4 linked regions of the Saccharomyces cerevisiae S288C genome follow. Changing the gene in region 2 together with the main gene of any one other region gives a genetic interaction. Each region holds a gene or a part of one and is shown on either strand. Other genes may lie near its edges.

Region 1 (5,533 bases), on a different chromosome or scaffold from region 2:
TCGAAAATCCAAAAAGAAAGTTTCAGTCGTACCTGGTACCTTGAGTCGCGATTCTTCGTAGTACAAATTATAAATCTAGACCCCACTTTGATTACTTTTGATGCCAAACGTTTCTTTTGACCTCTTTCCTTTTTACTAGCATTTGTAAAAATATCCATGTTTTTGTAGCTCGAGGAATACTATATAAAGGTGAACCTCCTCCTCAAAAATAGCCAACATTAACTTCAATACTTCATGTAATTTAATTTTTATAATCTGTTCAGTCAGCATATAAAAAATATAGAACAGAATCAAACGAACATCATAATTAATCTACCATGAAGTGCACTTTAGTTTCCACATTGTTTGCCATCACCAATATTCTAGTTGCACATGCACAAGTAAGCAACTCCTCAGACACGTTGGACGTACAATTTGCGAATAGTACGAACTCGTACATAGAAGGAAAATTTAATTCGACTGATGAAGCCTTCAACAGCAGCGCATCTTGGTCCTTAGCAGCTCAGCAGAAAAAGATATCTAATGCAGCTGTATATGATGTGGGTGGTTGGAATGGCTCATTGTATCGTTCCAATAGAAGCGCTGTTGCAGATCATCAACCCGGCAAAAAGCAAGATGCCGCTATTTCACAGATCAGTGATGGTCAAATCCAAGCCACTGCGTCTGGACCTGAGACTACCGCTGCTACTACCCCAAGTAGTACCGCAAATGTCTCTGTCTATGAAGGTGCTGGTATGAAGGTTGAATCCAAGAACATGGGTTATATAGTTGGAGTAGCAGCGCTATTATTTTTATAATTTGGCCTCCAAATGTAAAAATTGTACAATTAAGGACAATAGTATTTTCATTTTATAAAAAATATGTACATGTTAGAATTTTATAAGCCGAAAAAGCAGTCATTTTACCAGTTGTTTTATTCTTATCAGATGTCATATTCATGAAAACATAACACTGGCCTACACATTACACTGATTTTGTTCTTTAGGACAAGAAGTTTTCCAGAAAGAGTTTGCTGTCATTCACCACCAGTATATTATCATATACAGTATAAGGAGATGACATGAGTCGTGAGAAGTAGTCAGCGAACTTTATGAGAGCTCAAATACAAGGATTGGTAAAGCAATAGTAAGAATTGAGTAAAATTATTACACAACAGTTGGGATTTCGTTGTTGTGAAAGGTTATAATATTAGGTTTTCAAAAATATATTAAAAGCCACCCTCGAAGATACAATAATTCCAAAAAGGGTATCGATACTTTTACACAATATTATTCTATTACACTACTAGTCCTTGCGTTTCAGCTTCCTTTATTTTTGATGACTTTTTTTCAATCTTTACGTAATGTTCTTACACACCATGTGATAATACACTACTAATGTGACTACTAGTTGACGGATGATGATGTTCCTTATTACAGCAGTGTCAAGCCAAATGCATACATCGTATATTAATGTGCGCCACGTTTGACGTTTAAGTGTCACTGTGCTATTATAGAATAAAGAAAATGTTAGCGAGTATTTCATACAGTACTGAAGCCGAATTGAAGATAATTGAACGTTGCTGTGATAATTATTCATAGAAATATTACAGAGGATCGTATTAAATGTTTGGCAACTACCAATCATTATTGCATTGATCATAATCAATAATGAATGACAAATATAAGATGGGGAAGAAGTAATGATAATATTATGTAGAAATATCGATTCCCTTTTGTGAACTTCAAGATCTCCGAAGAGAACTTCTAGTATACTCTGTATACATAATATTGTAACATTGATTAACAATTGAATCTCAAAATTATCAAATTATTCACCCAATCTTCATTATTCACCAAATATTCCCAACTATCAGTAGTTCTTCTGGCAACTAATAAAATACTTAACCTATTCTATGTAGATATGAAGGGAACTGATAACAAATAGTAAGCGGATTTAGCTCAGTTGGGAGAGCGCCAGACTGAAGAAAAAACTTCGGTCAAGTTATCTGGAGGTCCTGTGTTCGATCCACAGAATTCGCATATTTTTTTAACGATTTAAAATCATTAGTTTATTTAATACTTATAGAAACTATCTTCCTCAAACAATTCTTCCCTATTAAATATACCAGATGGTAGAGTACCGCTTGCAATCAACTTGACCCCTTTCGAATATACCCTATCTGCATTTTCTGCATCCATTTTTTGATAATAATTTTGAAACGAACCTGTTTCTAATATTCTTGAAAATGTCCTTGGCACATCCTCTTCCGTAGCTGGGAAAAGTGCAGTTTCCAAGTGAAAATTTTCTGCTGAGTTAGGTAGTATAGAGAAAGAAATATTTGAAAGGGAGAGTTCGTTACCATAGCTTGTTTTGCATTCAGAACGTGAGCCTATCTCTGGTCTTAGATAATTCTGTTCCATTGATTTCTTCTCTATTGTTATATCATAATTTTCATGAGGTAATTCATTGATTTTTTTGAATGCTAATGAGCCTACTTTGAAAATATTCTCATGTTCAAAAGAGCGTGCCGGTTTCAGTTCGATTTGCTTCATATTAACAGAAAAACTACTTGAGTAAACTAAATCCTCCTTTTCTAAACACCCTTCCATACCTCTTGAAGATGAACTCGGATATTTCAGAGAGGAATCTGGACATTGATTTTTCAAAGCACCCAGTTTGTTCTGGATATGTTCAAGAGTCTCCACCCTTTTATTTGGCCTGAAGAACGGATCCTCATTTTCCTTCGAAGCTTCCATTGGTGTGGATTGACGAGATTTGATAGGCGAGATGGAGGCCCCAGAGTTCGGTGCACCTAGCGCCACTTTGGATCGCCTTTTCGAAGGTCTTGCATTTAAGCAACTTTCATTTAACGGCTGCGCCATTGATGGCATTTTTCTTTTTGTGCTGTTTTGTGAGGAATTGACACTCGACGGTGTTCTCACAGTTATTCGCTGAGATGACGCATAGTTAGAAGGTGATCTTCCTCTAATAATAAGAGGAGGCGTTTTCATTTCTTGCAAATACACAAACATCCCTTTTGATCCATTTTTTAAAGCCAGTTCATCATAAGGAATTCCGGGATTCTCCCCATGAAAGGTATCTGGATCTACCACTGCACCTAAAATTACATGCAAGCTAAAGTGTTTATTTTGTTGGGATGGTTTCTTCACGCTAATTGATGAAGCAAATTGAACTCTTTCATAACGGGCAACTTTCTGAATAGAATCTTCTGGATAGGAAAACAATAAAGAGTCCACTCCATATTCTTCATAATTAACGTGGTCTCTGTGCAAATAAAAAGTGGAATCGTATTTTTTCATTTTAGTGATATTTCGAACATTTGAAGCTTCTCTTATGATTTGATGTTTTGGCAAAGGGGAAGGCACCAACGGACATACTGAAGGACAAAATTGAGGACCTTTGTCGCGTTTCGCTGTATGCTGGACGAGATTGATTTCCGTGTCGTCGTCGTCATTCTTAGCTTTTATTTTGATAGCGAAATATTGCACTCTTAATCTGCTTTCTACTGAAGAGTCTTCAACGAGAAGATCAAAACTGCTCTTTAAAAAAGTATCCAAATCACAATTTGCCGTTTCAAACGTTGATACTAAGGTAAAATAATTTCTTTTATAACCTACCCACTCTTCATCAATATGGTCGAACCCTCTGTCAATTCTTGGAATAATTCGTAAATCTAGTGTTCTTCCGGTATGAGACTCAACGACTGGACAATAATCTCTCACTAATTCAAATGGAGGTCCCACTTTGAACTGTAGTGTTGATCTAGGGGCAATTTTTAGTTTCCTTTTGTCGAAATAATTCGAAGTGGTGCCATCTTCATTCAACTGCGTAAGGATAACAGGCGTATCCTCTTCCTGTTCTGTGCTTAATTCCCTCTCATATTTGGATACGAGATCATCCTGTAATACTGGATCTGTGTTTTCCATTTCATTCATTTTAAGCGCTTTTTATAATATTGTTATTTCTCTTTAATGAAAGGTTAGTAAACTTTCAATTTTTTGCTTAAATAGGTGACACAAAATGGAGGGCAATTATAAGGGACCTTGGCTTTTCGAAACAAAAGACAACCGTTCTGGAGCTTTGTCAGAGAGCTGGGCGGTTGTATAGAGGACAGGCCTCGAGATATTTGAGATCTCGTTTTCTACTCTTTTGTGTCATACGGCCTGGCCGATTTTCTGACACTTTGCCCTCCAAGCCGCACCTGAAGCAGAAAACGTCAAATAGCCGCGGAAGTAACAATGTAAAGTCACATATACAGTAATAGGAATGAAACACTATGTATATTCAAGGACCTTTATAGTTCTATAATATAACGCTATCTATTACACAAACTTGAGATTGAAAATCTCACAGGGCGATAGATTCATTGTTGTGCCTTGTTTTCGAATAAAAAAAAGTAGATACAAAGTGCGATTTATGTCAGCTTGGAGCGCTTGATGGATAAAGCATAAACGTCCAGGTACTCAGTAAATTCATGGATAATGTCATTCATAAACATAATGTGAACACCTAGTGAGAGACCGAACCCAAGCCAAGATAGGGCAAAGACGATTTTATTAGACTCAATTCCCCAAAGGGATAGACATATTTTGTACAATACTATCTGGCACAAAGGAATTAACATGGGTGCATTGAACATGGGAAAGCTCTGCTTAGTTAAATGGCAAACGATTATTCTTCCGACGGTAAATGCTCCCGTGAAACCAACGGAAAGGATGAAAGAGAGTGTAATAAAGCTTGGTTGCATCCACACTAGTAAAGCAATGCTTGCATAATAGGCAAAAAAGGGCAAAAGACCTTTTATAGCACTATCTTGCTCAATTTGCGTGATATTGTTGGCCGAAGAAGTGCTGTTTCTATAATACTTATCCACGTTTCTTTTCGCAGACAATGCGTTCATAACCAAACCGAAAACAGCTAGGGAAAAAACAATATCTAGAGTGTCTACATCAATTACCTTATCACCAACTGTAATTGTAAATAAGTAGGTATGCCAGATTACCTGTTTTCCGTATATACCTGTCAGTATCAATGAAACGCAAACAATCAGGATGCCTTCCACGGGTCCAGAAAACTCACTTAAGTATAATGTGTGTGTATGGTACTCTTCCCAAGTACTTAAGTAAAAATTCGTCAGCATCGCAAATTGGGATAACATTAAGTTATACGAAAATCCCATTCCAGTTTCGGATGCGAAGATGAAAATAGACAGAGTAGAATTAATGGCATCAATACTATGATCGAATAGTTCTCCTAAGGGTCCTGATTGATTGATACGGCGAGCGTGTACACCATCACATCCATCGAACGTTTGATATAGGAATACACCTAAAGCGTAAGAAAAATATGTCCAGCGAGGCGTATCTGTGTTAAGGTTTGGATCGTAATAGAATACAGTCAACACGTTGATAACTATAAAAGCAAATCCTGATAATGTGATGATGTTGGGCGCCATCCACGTGGGAAATATGTGACAAAATCTTTGCCAAAATGGCTTTAAGAAATACTTCGATACCAGCGAGCGGTCTTC
Region 2 (5,078 bases):
GGTTCCTTTGGTCCACAAGAAGACGAATTCTTCAATAAGGTTACTGAATATGCTAGAAAGCGTGGTATCCCAAGAATTTACTTGGCTGCAAACTCAGGTGCCAGAATTGGTATGGCTGAAGAGATTGTTCCACTATTTCAAGTTGCATGGAATGATGCTGCCAATCCGGACAAGGGCTTCCAATACTTATACTTAACAAGTGAAGGTATGGAAACTTTAAAGAAATTTGACAAAGAAAATTCTGTTCTCACTGAACGTACTGTTATAAACGGTGAAGAAAGATTTGTCATCAAGACAATTATTGGTTCTGAAGATGGGTTAGGTGTCGAATGTCTACGTGGATCTGGTTTAATTGCTGGTGCAACGTCAAGGGCTTACCACGATATCTTCACTATCACCTTAGTCACTTGTAGATCCGTCGGTATCGGTGCTTATTTGGTTCGTTTGGGTCAAAGAGCTATTCAGGTCGAAGGCCAGCCAATTATTTTAACTGGTGCTCCTGCAATCAACAAAATGCTGGGTAGAGAAGTTTATACTTCTAACTTACAATTGGGTGGTACTCAAATCATGTATAACAACGGTGTTTCACATTTGACTGCTGTTGACGATTTAGCTGGTGTAGAGAAGATTGTTGAATGGATGTCTTATGTTCCAGCCAAGCGTAATATGCCAGTTCCTATCTTGGAAACTAAAGACACATGGGATAGACCAGTTGATTTCACTCCAACTAATGATGAAACTTACGATGTAAGATGGATGATTGAAGGTCGTGAGACTGAAAGTGGATTTGAATATGGTTTGTTTGATAAAGGGTCTTTCTTTGAAACTTTGTCAGGATGGGCCAAAGGTGTTGTCGTTGGTAGAGCCCGTCTTGGTGGTATTCCACTGGGTGTTATTGGTGTTGAAACAAGAACTGTCGAGAACTTGATTCCTGCTGATCCAGCTAATCCAAATAGTGCTGAAACATTAATTCAAGAACCTGGTCAAGTTTGGCATCCAAACTCCGCCTTCAAGACTGCTCAAGCTATCAATGACTTTAACAACGGTGAACAATTGCCAATGATGATTTTGGCCAACTGGAGAGGTTTCTCTGGTGGTCAACGTGATATGTTCAACGAAGTCTTGAAGTATGGTTCGTTTATTGTTGACGCATTGGTGGATTACAAACAACCAATTATTATCTATATCCCACCTACCGGTGAACTAAGAGGTGGTTCATGGGTTGTTGTCGATCCAACTATCAACGCTGACCAAATGGAAATGTATGCCGACGTCAACGCTAGAGCTGGTGTTTTGGAACCACAAGGTATGGTTGGTATCAAGTTCCGTAGAGAAAAATTGCTGGACACCATGAACAGATTGGATGACAAGTACAGAGAATTGAGATCTCAATTATCCAACAAGAGTTTGGCTCCAGAAGTACATCAGCAAATATCCAAGCAATTAGCTGATCGTGAGAGAGAACTATTGCCAATTTACGGACAAATCAGTCTTCAATTTGCTGATTTGCACGATAGGTCTTCACGTATGGTGGCCAAGGGTGTTATTTCTAAGGAACTGGAATGGACCGAGGCACGTCGTTTCTTCTTCTGGAGATTGAGAAGAAGATTGAACGAAGAATATTTGATTAAAAGGTTGAGCCATCAGGTAGGCGAAGCATCAAGATTAGAAAAGATCGCAAGAATTAGATCGTGGTACCCTGCTTCAGTGGACCATGAAGATGATAGGCAAGTCGCAACATGGATTGAAGAAAACTACAAAACTTTGGACGATAAACTAAAGGGTTTGAAATTAGAGTCATTCGCTCAAGACTTAGCTAAAAAGATCAGAAGCGACCATGACAATGCTATTGATGGATTATCTGAAGTTATCAAGATGTTATCTACCGATGATAAAGAAAAATTGTTGAAGACTTTGAAATAAACCTTGTAAAGTAAAAAAAAAAAATAGTATTGATGTAATTTAATTTAGTTGCTAATATAAATTAGAAAATACATACATATATATATTATGCGCGTTTTCTTTCATAATCCGTTCTTTTTACTTAGAATATATTATATATCTGTGGGAAGGGGTACAACCTTTTGCTTTTTAGTGTCACTGCCTATGTGATCGGTCTGTTTCCTCTTTTGCTTGGCGATGGCGTTGGCGTTTTTCAAAGCTTTTTCTTGAGCTCTGCAGTTTTCCAAGTACTCTGAAGGATCTGTTTGAGCGCTTCCATCATCGTTCAATTGCTTTAGTACGAAACTAACTTCTTCCGGGCTCTTGCAACGGGCAAAGTACTGAAAAAAGACTGATTTTCCGGGGACAATTCTGCTTAACATGTATTTTGTATTGCCGATGTGGTTGTCAAACTTCGTTGCCCACTGAATAAACTCGCGACAAGCAACGACCCAAGATGGACCGTCTTCTGAAGGCTTAGAAGTGTGATCAAAAACTGTAGGGTCCCGTTCAGCACACTCTGCAATCATACCACCAATGTTAGTGTTTTTCCAATGATTCGCTTGTAAATCATGAAAATGAGAGCGGTCGCGGATAGCGCCGTTCACAATCAACGACACGTTATTTGCCTGGCATATCTCGTAGATCTCCGCAATGTAATCTGTGATGGGCTGCTCTCTGTTTCTCATTTCAGTCTTCCTGCAGTGAACTGTAAGATTTGTGATGCCCGTGGCACACAGACGTTTGACGAGCTGTAGAGTGTCTTGCTTGGTGTCCAAGAGTCTTATTTTCACACTGATGGGTTTGCTGTGAGGGTTACCCACGTTCTTAACCAGTTCTTTCAAGATGAGACACAGTGTGTCTGGGGTGCGCAAGAGGGCAGAGCCCATGCCGGAGTGTATAGAGAAGTGTTTGGGGCAGCCTGCATTGATATCTATCCCGCTGACGTCGTTGATCACTTTCAAAGCAGCCTGGGTGGCCAGAGCCGGGGATGCAGACCCGATCTGGAAAATCAATTTAGAGGATTCTAGTTTTGGATATGTTCTGAAAACGAGCGTCTCCGGCCTCGTTTGAACCTTGGACGGCACGACGTAGTCGACAGTTTGGAGTGCAGTGTTTTCCTTCCTGACGCACTGAATTAGCTTTTTGTCGATGATTTCTGGGGACCAGACGAGATCTGCACCGTGGGCCAGCGCCATCAGTCTCGTGGGCAGTTCGCCGGCTCTTACCATTGGAGCTAGAACCAGTTTTCCAGCATATGTAACCATGATCTCTGTGTGACTGCGCTATTTGGTGTGGCTTGGATGGATGAAATAGCAAAAGTTTTTCAAGACGGTTTTCATTTTTTCTTCGAGCGAAGTGATGAGCAAAGTAGAGGAAATGGAAAGCGGCAAAAAATGCATTGTCGATTTTAGTAATGAATATATAAAACGACGGAAATATATATATACATGGCTGCGTAGACCACGCAGAACTGTATATGTATGTATGTATAGAGGAGGGATGGGAAATGCTGTGTGACGATAGACAGATGGATGGACGAATGGATAACTACGTCTCTAGTCTCTCATACAATGGTTTGTCAAACTTGACGGCGACCGAGTTTCTTCTGTGGTGATGTCTGTTGCAAGGACAAGACGGGTCTGAGTGGTCGTTAGGAGACGCGGATGTTTGCGGCTCCTGTTGGTCACTGATGGGGAACATCATGCTATGCTGGGCGTACGAGACGGACCTTTTCATCTCGGACGACGAGCGATTATCGAAGGAGGGCAGTTGTGGCTCACTGGCCCTTCTTTGAAAGTTTTTGTGATGCGCGCATTGGTGGAAGTCGCTTGCCGGCAATACAGAGTTGCGCCTAGAAGAGGGCAGTAGTGACGGCGAGGTTGGGTCAGAAGTCAAGCACGAGGCTGCGGTGTAGTTACTCTTGAACAATGAGGGCCGCGTAGGGTCTGCTACAACGGGAGCGGAAACATTAAGTACAGTCTCGACGATTTCATTGTCAGTTGATAAAGCAGGCGGTAAGCCGACGGAGCTGCCTCTGGGGGAGCAGGCTTTAGATGTAGCAGAGGAGCAGGAGCTGCTGCTGCTGCTCCTGCTGCTGCTTCTGTCCGCGATCGACTTGTAGTGGAAGGTGATGTGAGCGGAAACAGGGATGTTCACGGCACAAGGCTTGATATCCGTGGACGACATGGAACGTTTATTAGTTATATTTTTCGAGAAAAAATCTGAAACTTGCAGATCATTAGTTTACGCTTCGGATGTACACACACATACCTATATACATATATACATACACATATATATACATTTGTGTGCTCGTATGCGTACTGTTTTGCACTGGGCTGATTCGAGAAAGTCAAAAAGCTTAACTGGCCAGAAAAAGAAATTAAAACGGCACCGAGGGGTCGAAACCTTCCGTTTCTGCGAAGGCCCTTTGTTCTTTTGCTTTTGATCCGAAATGAGGGGCGGCGAGAGGTAAGGGGTAGAGGGGCTGGAACTCTCGCTGATGTTCTGAGCGAGGTGTTCAGGTGGGCCTATCCGCCTTAATCACTCCGGCGTGGGGAAAGAAAGCAGAGAGCGAGCAGAGAGCGAGCAGAGAGTGGGTGATGTCAGAGAACGATAATCCTGATGGGGGGTGGAACTTTATTACCCTACTTGAATTTTTTTATTTTGGTAGGGTAACTTTTATTCCCTTGAAAAAAATACTTCTGGTTACCCGGATCCGTTTTTTTTCGGGGATCCACGTGATGGCTTTTTGATCAGGACTAATTTTAAAACTGAAAAAAAAAAAAAAAAATTGAGTATGTCTTGCATGTATGAAAATTGATAAGTAACTAGGAAAAATGCCGCTCAAAATCTTAGTAAAAATAACTTCTTTTCTTTTTTTACTTAGTCAAATAAAAAGAAAACTGTGAAGGTGACACGGTAACTTGCAGACTGACATGAAGTTCTCGCATTCCTTACAATTCAATTCTGTACCAGAATGGTCTACCAAGTATCTGGCCTATTCGCAGCTGAAAAAATTGATCTATTCTTTGCAAAAAGATAAGCTGTACAGTAACAATAAGCACCATGTTGTGGAGCCACATGACGCCAACGATGAAAATCTGCCGCTATTGGCAGATGCTTCTCCAGAT
Region 3 (4,733 bases), on a different chromosome or scaffold from region 2:
AGTCTACAAGATTTATCCCAAAACCTTTGTACGGCAGCAACCAAAAGTTACCTGTTAAAGACTTCCATATTATCTCTGATTTCATTTTACAAGGCCACAAGGATTCGTTTGAATTTTACGAAAAAGAGAAAACAAATTTAGGTTATATGGGTCAATTAGTATTAATTGCCGAAGAAATTGCGAAGTATTCCAAAATTTATAAGACCGATCTAATTGCTCCAGATATATATGCCTTCTTACAAGATGAAGTTTGGATGTCATATTCTAGTGACATCTTGAACGAAACAAGGACAATGTGTTCAATAATTCTTGGTGGAGGCCAGTTCTGTGCCGAAAGCGATGAAAATACTAACCAGGACTTTTTGGAAAAAGCTGATATGAGTAAACCAGCTCATCCATCCACAATGGATGAGAATGAAATTGTTCACGAGGAGGATGTTAAGTTGCATGATAAAGTTGCCGAGCTCATAGATGAATTGGGTCAATTAACCGAATTAGATATTCATGATAAAATTAAAGATGTTATTGTTGATCATCATTCCGACTTAAATTGATTAGGTTAAGTCGTCAAACCAATTTTGACTTTTTTTTTCCTACATTTTTAATATTTTGTTTCTCGTTTTGCCTTATTTAATTTTGTGACATGTAAAAATTACGAAGCCTATTGGGGGCCAATTGAAGTAAACTAAATATAACAATAGTCCTTTGTAGTTCAGGAATGTTCACCAACTATTCACCAAAAATTATTGTCTAGCTTACTTTCAATAACTTATAGCTATCTATACAAAAATAATCATATAACTAAAGTCAGGCCCAAACCAGGCAAAACAAAACCATAATAATGGGAATTATTACACTATCCGGCAATGTTCTACATTTATTGAAAGCCTACCCAAAAAAGGGCCTTGAAGAGGTTTCTCAACCAGAGCCTAATACAGCAAATGATTCCTCGACTGAATATAAAGGAAAAAGCAAGGATGATTTTCAAATGGTCGAAAAATCCAATACAGATGAGAGATACAATTTTACAAGAACGAAAAAATGGTTTTTATTGATGACCTCAGAATATTACAAACTAATGGAAAACAGACTTTTAATGTTTTGCATTATCGCTTGCTCTTTTATTTGTGCTATCCAATTTCTTTTCTTTATAATTTATTGGACCAACATTGTTCCACGGAAGACGCAAAGGGCAATAACTAACCTAAATTACGATTATTTAACAGCCCATCTAAAAGAGCAATGCGTTCCATATGCGAAAATTCTTGACCAATGTATTCTCTAGCAATCTCTGCTTTTGTACATTCGTAGTTTTTTCATGTTCCTTTCATAAATAATAAAAAAAGCGTATTCTTTTCTATATAAATAGAATGAAAAAAAGTTGAACATAATATCAGTTAAGGTTAAAATAAAGCCAAACGATATAAGCAACAGAAATGAGTGAACAGGAGCCTTACGAATGGGCTAAACACCTATTGGACACCAAGTATATCGAAAAATACAACATTCAGAACTCAAACACATTACCTTCACCACCAGGATTTGAAGGTAATTCCTCTAAAGGAAATGTTACAAGAAAACAACAAGATGCTACATCTCAAACTACTTCTTTGGCACAAAAAAACCAAATAACAGTATTACAAGTACAGAAGGCATGGCAAATTGCGTTACAACCAGCCAAATCTATTCCGATGAATATTTTTATGTCGTATATGTCCGGTACATCCTTACAAATCATTCCTATAATGACTGCCCTCATGCTACTCTCTGGACCCATTAAAGCAATATTTTCAACAAGGAGTGCATTCAAACCAGTGTTGGGTAATAAAGCAACACAAAGTCAAGTGCAAACTGCTATGTTCATGTATATCGTATTCCAAGGCGTCTTAATGTACATTGGATACAGGAAACTAAATTCAATGGGTCTCATTCCTAACGCTAAGGGTGATTGGCTACCCTGGGAACGAATTGCTCATTATAATAATGGATTACAATGGTTTTCCGATTGAGAGCGTATATACTTATATAAAATATCTATTCTGTTTCATATATGATTATTGTTTTACACTCTTATCTTCATCCTTTCGGAATTTCGATTCATAAAGCTGTTGAACGTTGTATTTACGATATTTGGTTTTATAATCCCCATCGACTACACACATTCCGATATTGCTCTTAAAACATTCCACTAGAATCAATTTATCATAGTTCTTCAAGTCCACAGTATGATTAAACTCAGAACCCTCTTTATTGACCAGCTTCACAACTTGATTAATGATGTCCATTCTTTCAATCGTATTGAAATTTCTTCTTGTCACTTCTACAGCAAATTTATAATTTTTTTTAACATTCGAAGGGTCATGAAAGTGTGGCCCAATAACCAAATTGGCCAACTTGATTAATTGCTCCATTTTTGCATTACAAGAGTACGTAATAGGTGTTAATTTCTGAACATATCTAGTACGTTTAACCATATTTTTGGGATCCGCTAAGTCTTTCATGATACTTAGCACAAATTCTTCGGGAACAATTGGCTTTCTTGTTTTACAAAATGTCACGCACTCACAGTTCAAGTCGATGAAGGCTAAGGGGTCTTTCTTCTTTGTCTCCCCTGAAGATAAATCTTTGCCTGTTTCTTCACCTTTCAATTCTTGTAATTCCTTTTTTATCTGGTCTTCAATTGATAGATCTTTCTTTTCGTCATTTTCACTTTCATCTTCTCCTTCTTTGATATCCCCATAGAGTTCTTGAAATTTTTCTTCGAATAAAAGCTGCAACTCTTGGGCTGCTTGACGTTCATGTCTTCTAGAACATGTGGCATATATTCCAGACGTACCAGGGTCTAAGAATCCGGAAGATACTTTAAACTATTACTTTTGATCGTTAGTACTTAAAGAACTCTAATTCGTGTGCAGACAGACATACTTTCTTCCTGTTTTGGGAATTTGCATCCTTACCATTACGGTTACGTTTTTCACCCATAATTAAGATACTTATTTACACTAATTGTATGATACTTTTCAATATATAGTAGACTTTTGAGATGTATTTGGTTGACGTGAAAAATAAAGAGTTATTCAATGATAAAAAAAAAATTTATTTGAAGTGAACTTTTTCGATGCTAAAACCAAAAAACTCAAGACTGTCCGAAATTCTTTCTTATGAACGTACAAATGATTATACTGAGATAATATCTAATTTTTTAACGTCTATTAAAAAATTTGGCTATCCTACTCGTATTAGAGTCAATGACACTCGCTGATTCAGAGTTGAATATGCTGCTACTATCCATTACGCTAGTGTCATCGCCGTTAGCTCCTTCTACAGATGAGACGAAGTGCTGAATCTTGCTCAACAAAAGAGCCGCATCTTCCTGTCTAATTCTTGAATATTTTCTTAATCTTATTTCTGGTTCATTATAATCTTTTCCCTGAGTCTTTAATAACTCTATACACTGCTTCAACTCCATAAATGTAGCTTCTAGCGATTTGATATTATTTTCAAATAATGTTGGTGCGTCAACACCGTTGGCATTTGGAAATGTAGGCGTCGAAGGGGTCATTGGCGACTGGTATCCATTACTATCTATAGTACCTGGTGTAGAGGGGAAAATTCTGGGAATAATGCTCTCTAAATAATTGACATCAACTTCAAAATTCATTATGCTTTCATGTGTAATTGTACTTGGTGTGTCATGCAATAATAGACCCATGAATTGTCTCGTCAAGGAGTCAAATTCACGGAAAATCAATAATGTTTGGACGCTGTATGGTAAATTTTGTAGCGTGCTGGCAAACATCATTTCTAAAAATTGTGCCAGATCAATGATGGAGATATCCGGGTCTTGCCTTACCTCCGTTATTTGCCAGTCAATTTCAATAGTTTCAAGAATATCTGATATCTTAGAATCGATTAATTCAATTAACTTTGTTTCTGCCAATTTTCTGCTTTCCGCAAGATATTTTATCGAGGATAACCGTATTTCCATATCCGGGTTTTGTAAAATATTCTCTCTTGTCATGAAGTTACTAAATTCTTTTGCTGCTATGATAAAATAATCTAAATTGACTAAGATTTGTGCAATTTCTTCTCTCGACGTACTTTCAAGTTTAGAACGAATTTTTTTATTGACGATATCATTAAATATATCGTCCATTGTTTTGACCAAAATATTATTCAAAGTGTGTAGCTCATGACGATAAAATATGGAAAGAAATGCGGTTATTTTAGAATATGTTTTCTTAGCAAGTGTACACGTCATTGGGTATAATGGAGAAAAAGGCAAAGTCACAGCAAATGGCTCTCCGTTGGTTGGATCTGGCAGGGAAAGGTGTTCGCCCTCCTTCATCCAGCAAATCTTCAAAACTTTCTCATATAATGTCTTGTCATTAATGGATAAAGGCATAAAATCATCATCGTTTAACAAGATTTGAAATTCATCGTCAAAAGCTCTCAAGGAAACAGAGCAGAATTTCTCGAAAATTGAAACCAAAATTTTATATAAAGGTTCGATGTTCAGTTTGAAATTTTCTAAAATGGCAACATAAATACAAAGAAAATCTTTCAATTTAATCATGTCTTCTTCTGTTTTCAGCTTCTCATCTATGAAATAACTCAAATATGGTGACAACCTGTCCATGAGTCCATCCCAAAATTCATTTGTAGAATTATAGTTATTATCAACGAGGATAAATTCTGTAGCTTTATTCAAATTAATATCATATAATAAGAAG
Region 4 (4,380 bases), on a different chromosome or scaffold from region 2:
AGGCATTTCCTTCAAACCTATAATGATTCTGTCGCGTGGAGCGGTTTTCCATGAACCTGCAGGCACTATAATGGCACCTGCTTGACGATATTCGTTAATATTGAAAGTAGATTGTGGACTGTCCTCTACATATATTTTGAAGCCCTTAGCTATCAGTTTTTTAACCGTGGTAGGTGTTAAGGCAGCACGTGCCTCTAGGGGTTTAGTTTCAGCTCTTAGATGTAATGTGACGGCAGCCATTTTTGCGGTTGTGTGAAAAATAAAGCGTTTTCGTTGTTATCTTATGGTATGCCTCCTAAAATACCAGTTTCCGTCAGGGAAGATGGGCTTTTTATATATTTCATCGTGGTTTCTCGAGGATGACTTTATGACTCTTTGTCGCTGAAATCGCAGGGGAATTTTGGCGGTTGAGAGCGGAATTCCAAATTCCGCTGGAAAAAAAAAATAATAATGCAAAATGTATAAATGTATAAGAGTCTTTTTTGACTCATCGACTTAGTATGTAACAATTTATATGTACCTGCTATCCTCAAGGCATAAAGTCCGCCAAGGCAGGGTCATTATAGCTCAAGTACTGTCCATTAACACCGTCAGGAATACCATGAAGGGCCAATTTGGCATAAACTGTAGCTGGCACAGAGCTATCCAGCAACTGGTTATTCTCCTTTAAACCTCTAAACATCTTCAATTGCTCTGCACTCATGGAGGAAGGCCCCACGTTCTCCCTAATGTTAACTTGCATATCTGTGTCCACAATACCTGGGGCGACGGCAATGGCTTTCACTTGCCTTTCCTCGTTGGCCAGAGTCATGGCGAAGTGGTTCAGAGCGGCTTTTGAAGAACCGTAAGCTCCCCAACTGCTGAAGTACATGTTACAGGCGTCCGAACTGACGAATACCACGTTACCGTTGGTCTTCTTCAATTCAGGTAACGCAATGCCAACCAAGGAAACAATGCTGAAGAAGTTGATGTCATACAGCTTCTTCCAAGCGTTGACATCAATCTCGTTGACATTTTGCACGGGCTCTAGGACACCAGCGTTGGCAACCAAGGAGTCGATCTTGCCGTGGCCCTTAACAGCAGCGTTAACCAACTGCTTCAACACGGAATCCTCGGTAATATCACCGACAACGTAAAAAAACCTGTCGCCATACTTCTCTTTCAACTTCTTCAAGGGTGCCTCAGACCTGGCTACACCGTAAACAACCGTGTCCTTGTCCAAACTGAAAAGAACATCCACGATGGACTTACCGATACCTCTGGAAACACCTGTAACTAAAATAACTTTACCCATGTTTTTTTAACCTGTTACACGCTGTAGTTAGACCCTTTTTTTTAGGTACAATATTCTTCCATTGCACTTGATCTTTTTCGTTTACGTATATATATGCAAAAGTTAATGTTCATACTGTCTTCTCTTCATTTCTTTGAAAACACCGCGGAATTCCTTCGGTGATACATTCAATCCGGTTCTTGGCACAGAAATGGCCGCACAAAACTGTCGCTCATCGCAAACCCAATAAAAGTTTAGTAGCTAAAAACTATAACTATACCCTTTTACATAATATAGTTTAGTACTAGCCCTGCACCGGCCCCAGTCGCTCATCGTTGTAGCGGAGATATTGACCGTTCAAAGAGTCGGGAATACCTTTCAGGACGAGTTGCGCTAGTACCGCCGCAGGCACCTTTGGGTCCAGCAGTGACGAAGTCTTGTACAATTGAGTAAACCTCTCGAGAGCCTTGGGTGTCATGCCCTGAGGACCCAATGTTTCCCTAATATCTTTCTGCATCTGCGTGTCAACGACGCCCGGTGCAATACACACGGCACGCACTTTATCACTGGGCTCTTCACTGGCAATGTCCATGGCAAAGTGGTTTAATGCGGCTTTCGAGCAGCCGTACGCCGACCATCCGTTATATGGTTTCACACTGGCTCCAGAGCTGACGAAGACAATGTTGCCTACAAATGGCGAGCTCTTCAAGAGGGGTAAACACAGTGCCACCAAAGAGACAATGCTGAAAAAGTTCACATCGAACAGCCGTTCCCACTGCTTGATGTCGTGTTCGGAGTTGGACTGGGAGATGGACTTCACCGGTTCTAGCATCCCCGCATTTGCGACAATACCGTCCAGTTTTCCATGCTTTTGCCGGATTTCCTCCACCAACGCTTCCATTCGAGACCTGTCCGTGATGTCGAGGACACGATAGACAAATTTGTCTGCACCGTATTCTCTTTGCAAAGACTGCAGACCAGCTTCCGTTCTTGCTACGCCGTAGACGATGCATTCATCGTCCTCTTCGATAACAGTTTTCACCAATTGCAGGCCAATCCCACGGGAGGCACCTGTAATCAAAATAACCTTGCCCATATCCCTTCTTTGACAGATTATAAGTTGTTTCTCTTGTTGCTGTTCGCGACAGCCCTTATTTCCTGTATTCCTTCTTCTTTTTCTGCATTATCGTTTTTAGCCACTTTACGAAAAAGGTCAAAAAGTGAAAAAAAGAGGGAAAAAACCATGAGGAACAGTATGCTCCCTTAATATCGGAAAAGCAATAGTAATAAAAACAGCATCAGAGCTTTCCACGTCTCTCTCTTCCAAGCTGTCATCTCGTAAAGTATTCAAGTTTATCATGTCAGAATTCTATAAGCTAGCACCTGTTGACAAGAAAGGCCAACCATTCCCCTTCGACCAATTAAAGGGAAAAGTGGTGCTTATCGTTAATGTTGCCTCCAAATGTGGATTCACTCCTCAATACAAAGAACTAGAGGCCTTGTACAAACGTTATAAGGACGAAGGATTTACCATCATCGGGTTCCCATGCAACCAGTTTGGCCACCAAGAACCTGGCTCTGATGAAGAAATTGCCCAGTTCTGCCAACTGAACTATGGCGTGACTTTCCCCATTATGAAAAAAATTGACGTTAATGGTGGCAATGAGGACCCTGTTTACAAGTTTTTGAAGAGCCAAAAATCCGGTATGTTGGGCTTGAGAGGTATCAAATGGAATTTTGAAAAATTCTTAGTCGATAAAAAGGGTAAAGTGTACGAAAGATACTCTTCACTAACCAAACCTTCTTCGTTGTCCGAAACCATCGAAGAACTTTTGAAAGAGGTGGAATAGGCAGGTCTTCTTCTTTTGAAGTTAGGTAAAGCTTAGTTTTCTTTTATATTTCCTGATAATACATACTCGCTAGTCAAACCTGTCAATTATTATGTGTCGCAACAGACTATATACGTATACATACATATGTATTGAAGTGTGTGAACGAATTACGCGGCTGCTAGTGCCGTACGAACGCAACAAAACGGTTTAGAAATTGCTACCTAAAGCACGCGCCTTTTCCTTAGAAGCAGCATACGACTCCTCTGAGGTTATGGTCTTTAACCATTTGGAAATGGCAGGATAATCCTCTGGTGCGGCAAACTTTCTTTCAAACGCCATCTGCAAAGGGAAAGACATCAAGATATCGGCACCGCTCAACTTCCCATCAACCAGGTAGCCGTTATTTTTGGAAATTTCACCCTCCACAAAGTCGAACTGGTTCTTAACTTCACCACTAGAGTATGCCTGACTGATCTTGTCTGCCACTTTTCTTGCCAAGTACGAAATAGGGAAGGGCATACCAGAATCCTTCACCTTTGAAAGAATGAACTCAATCATTAAAGGTGGTTGCAAGGAACCTTCTACATAAAACAGATAATAGTTAATCTGGTCTGCAATATCAGCATCTTCGCTCATTAAAACGTGTGAATGATCAAAATGCTGCAAGACATATTGGAAGATGAAACCGGACTCGGCAAGTATCTTCTTCTTACCAGTTTCTCTGTCTTGAACTTCTAACAATGGAGATCTTCCTAATGGGTGAATTTTCTTTAATTCTGGTGGAGCACGGAAGTTAGCATCTCTTTTATAAGGGACAATTTCATATTCAAGGTTCAAATGGTCTAATAACCACAAAAGTCTGAACGCTCTGGAATGGTCCAACCAATGGACTTTGATAATTGGCAACGACATAATGCTTCCTTGATTTACCTTTTCCCTCTCATTTTAGGTTGTTGTAAAAAATATCAACGATCGTTTTATATATAAGGATTCTGCCATAGTATTTCAACGTTATCCACTTCCCCTAAATTTTCACCATACTGGAGCGAGCGGGTACGAGGTGAAAATCATTAGTAAATGGCCGTAGCATGAAAAGTGCGATTGTCATAGTAACAAGGAGGGGCTTATCCTTGGCTATTGCGAGGCACCCCCTCTGTTGCTAACGGAGGTTGTAACTGCCGGTGGTGGTTTTCCTATTAGGCTAGCCTTGGCATACAGATCACCCTTAGGGCCCACTTTGGTGTGAGCTTGAGGTGCTTAACTTTGTCAATACAA

The links.
Region 1: mutations in SMM1 (region 2) and NDT80 together harm fitness more than expected from each alone (negative genetic interaction), as found in Saccharomyces cerevisiae (2 studies listed by BioGRID).
Region 3: mutations in SMM1 (region 2) and TAN1 together harm fitness more than expected from each alone (negative genetic interaction), as found in Saccharomyces cerevisiae (3 studies listed by BioGRID).
Region 4: mutations in SMM1 (region 2) and IRC24 together harm fitness more than expected from each alone (negative genetic interaction), as found in Saccharomyces cerevisiae (2 studies listed by BioGRID).

Annotation. Positions count from the first base shown.
Region 1 is NC_001140.6:354,966-360,498, reverse strand, and holds NDT80 (transcription factor NDT80), read right to left. Parts: upstream 3,939-5,533; coding exon 2,055-3,938; downstream 1-2,054. Other genes in the region: ANS1 (Ans1p), read left to right, coding at 318-797; YHR125W (uncharacterized protein), read right to left, coding at 1,336-1,641; EPT1 (bifunctional diacylglycerol cholinephosphotransferase/ethanolaminephosphotransferase), read right to left, coding at 4,418-5,533. UniProt on the Saccharomyces cerevisiae protein: Transcription factor required for successful completion of meiosis and spore formation. Gets activated after completion of meiotic recombination at the end of prophase I.
Region 2 is NC_001146.8:651,518-656,595, reverse strand, and holds SMM1 (tRNA-dihydrouridine(20) synthase (NAD(+))), read right to left. Parts: upstream 3,210-5,078; coding exon 2,055-3,209; downstream 1-2,054. Other genes in the region: acetyl-CoA carboxylase ACC1, read left to right, coding at 1-1,923; YNR014W (uncharacterized protein), read right to left, coding at 3,493-4,131; PHO91 (Pho91p), read left to right, coding at 4,884-5,078. UniProt on the Saccharomyces cerevisiae protein: Catalyzes the NADPH-dependent synthesis of dihydrouridine, a modified base found in the D-loop of most tRNAs. Specifically modifies U20 in cytoplasmic tRNAs. Also able to mediate dihydrouridylation of some mRNAs, thereby affecting their translation.
Region 3 is NC_001139.9:60,324-65,056, reverse strand, and holds TAN1 (putative tRNA acetyltransferase), read right to left. Parts: upstream 2,983-4,733; coding exon 2,926-2,982; intron 2,868-2,925; coding exon 2,055-2,867; downstream 1-2,054. Other genes in the region: SAP4 (Sap4p), read left to right, coding at 1-554; YGL230C (uncharacterized protein), read left to right, coding at 842-1,285; chaperone EMC4, read left to right, coding at 1,437-2,009; Rab GTPase-binding exocyst subunit SEC15, read right to left, coding at 3,203-4,733. UniProt on the Saccharomyces cerevisiae protein: Probable tRNA acetyltransferase required for the formation of the modified nucleoside N(4)-acetylcytidine in serine and leucine tRNAs. Binds RNA.
Region 4 is NC_001141.2:420,497-424,876, forward strand, and holds IRC24 (sepiapterin reductase family protein IRC24), read right to left. Parts: upstream 2,370-4,380; coding exon 1,578-2,369; downstream 1-1,577. Other genes in the region: LYS1 (saccharopine dehydrogenase (NAD+, L-lysine-forming)), read right to left, coding at 1-240; NRE1 (sepiapterin reductase family protein), read right to left, coding at 530-1,294; peroxiredoxin HYR1, read left to right, coding at 2,632-3,123; GTT1 (bifunctional glutathione transferase/peroxidase), read right to left, coding at 3,313-4,017. UniProt on the Saccharomyces cerevisiae protein: Reduces benzil stereospecifically to (S)-benzoin. Also reduces 1-phenyl-1,2-propanedione to 2-hydroxy-1-phenyl-1-propanone. Is probably involved in a pathway contributing to genomic integrity.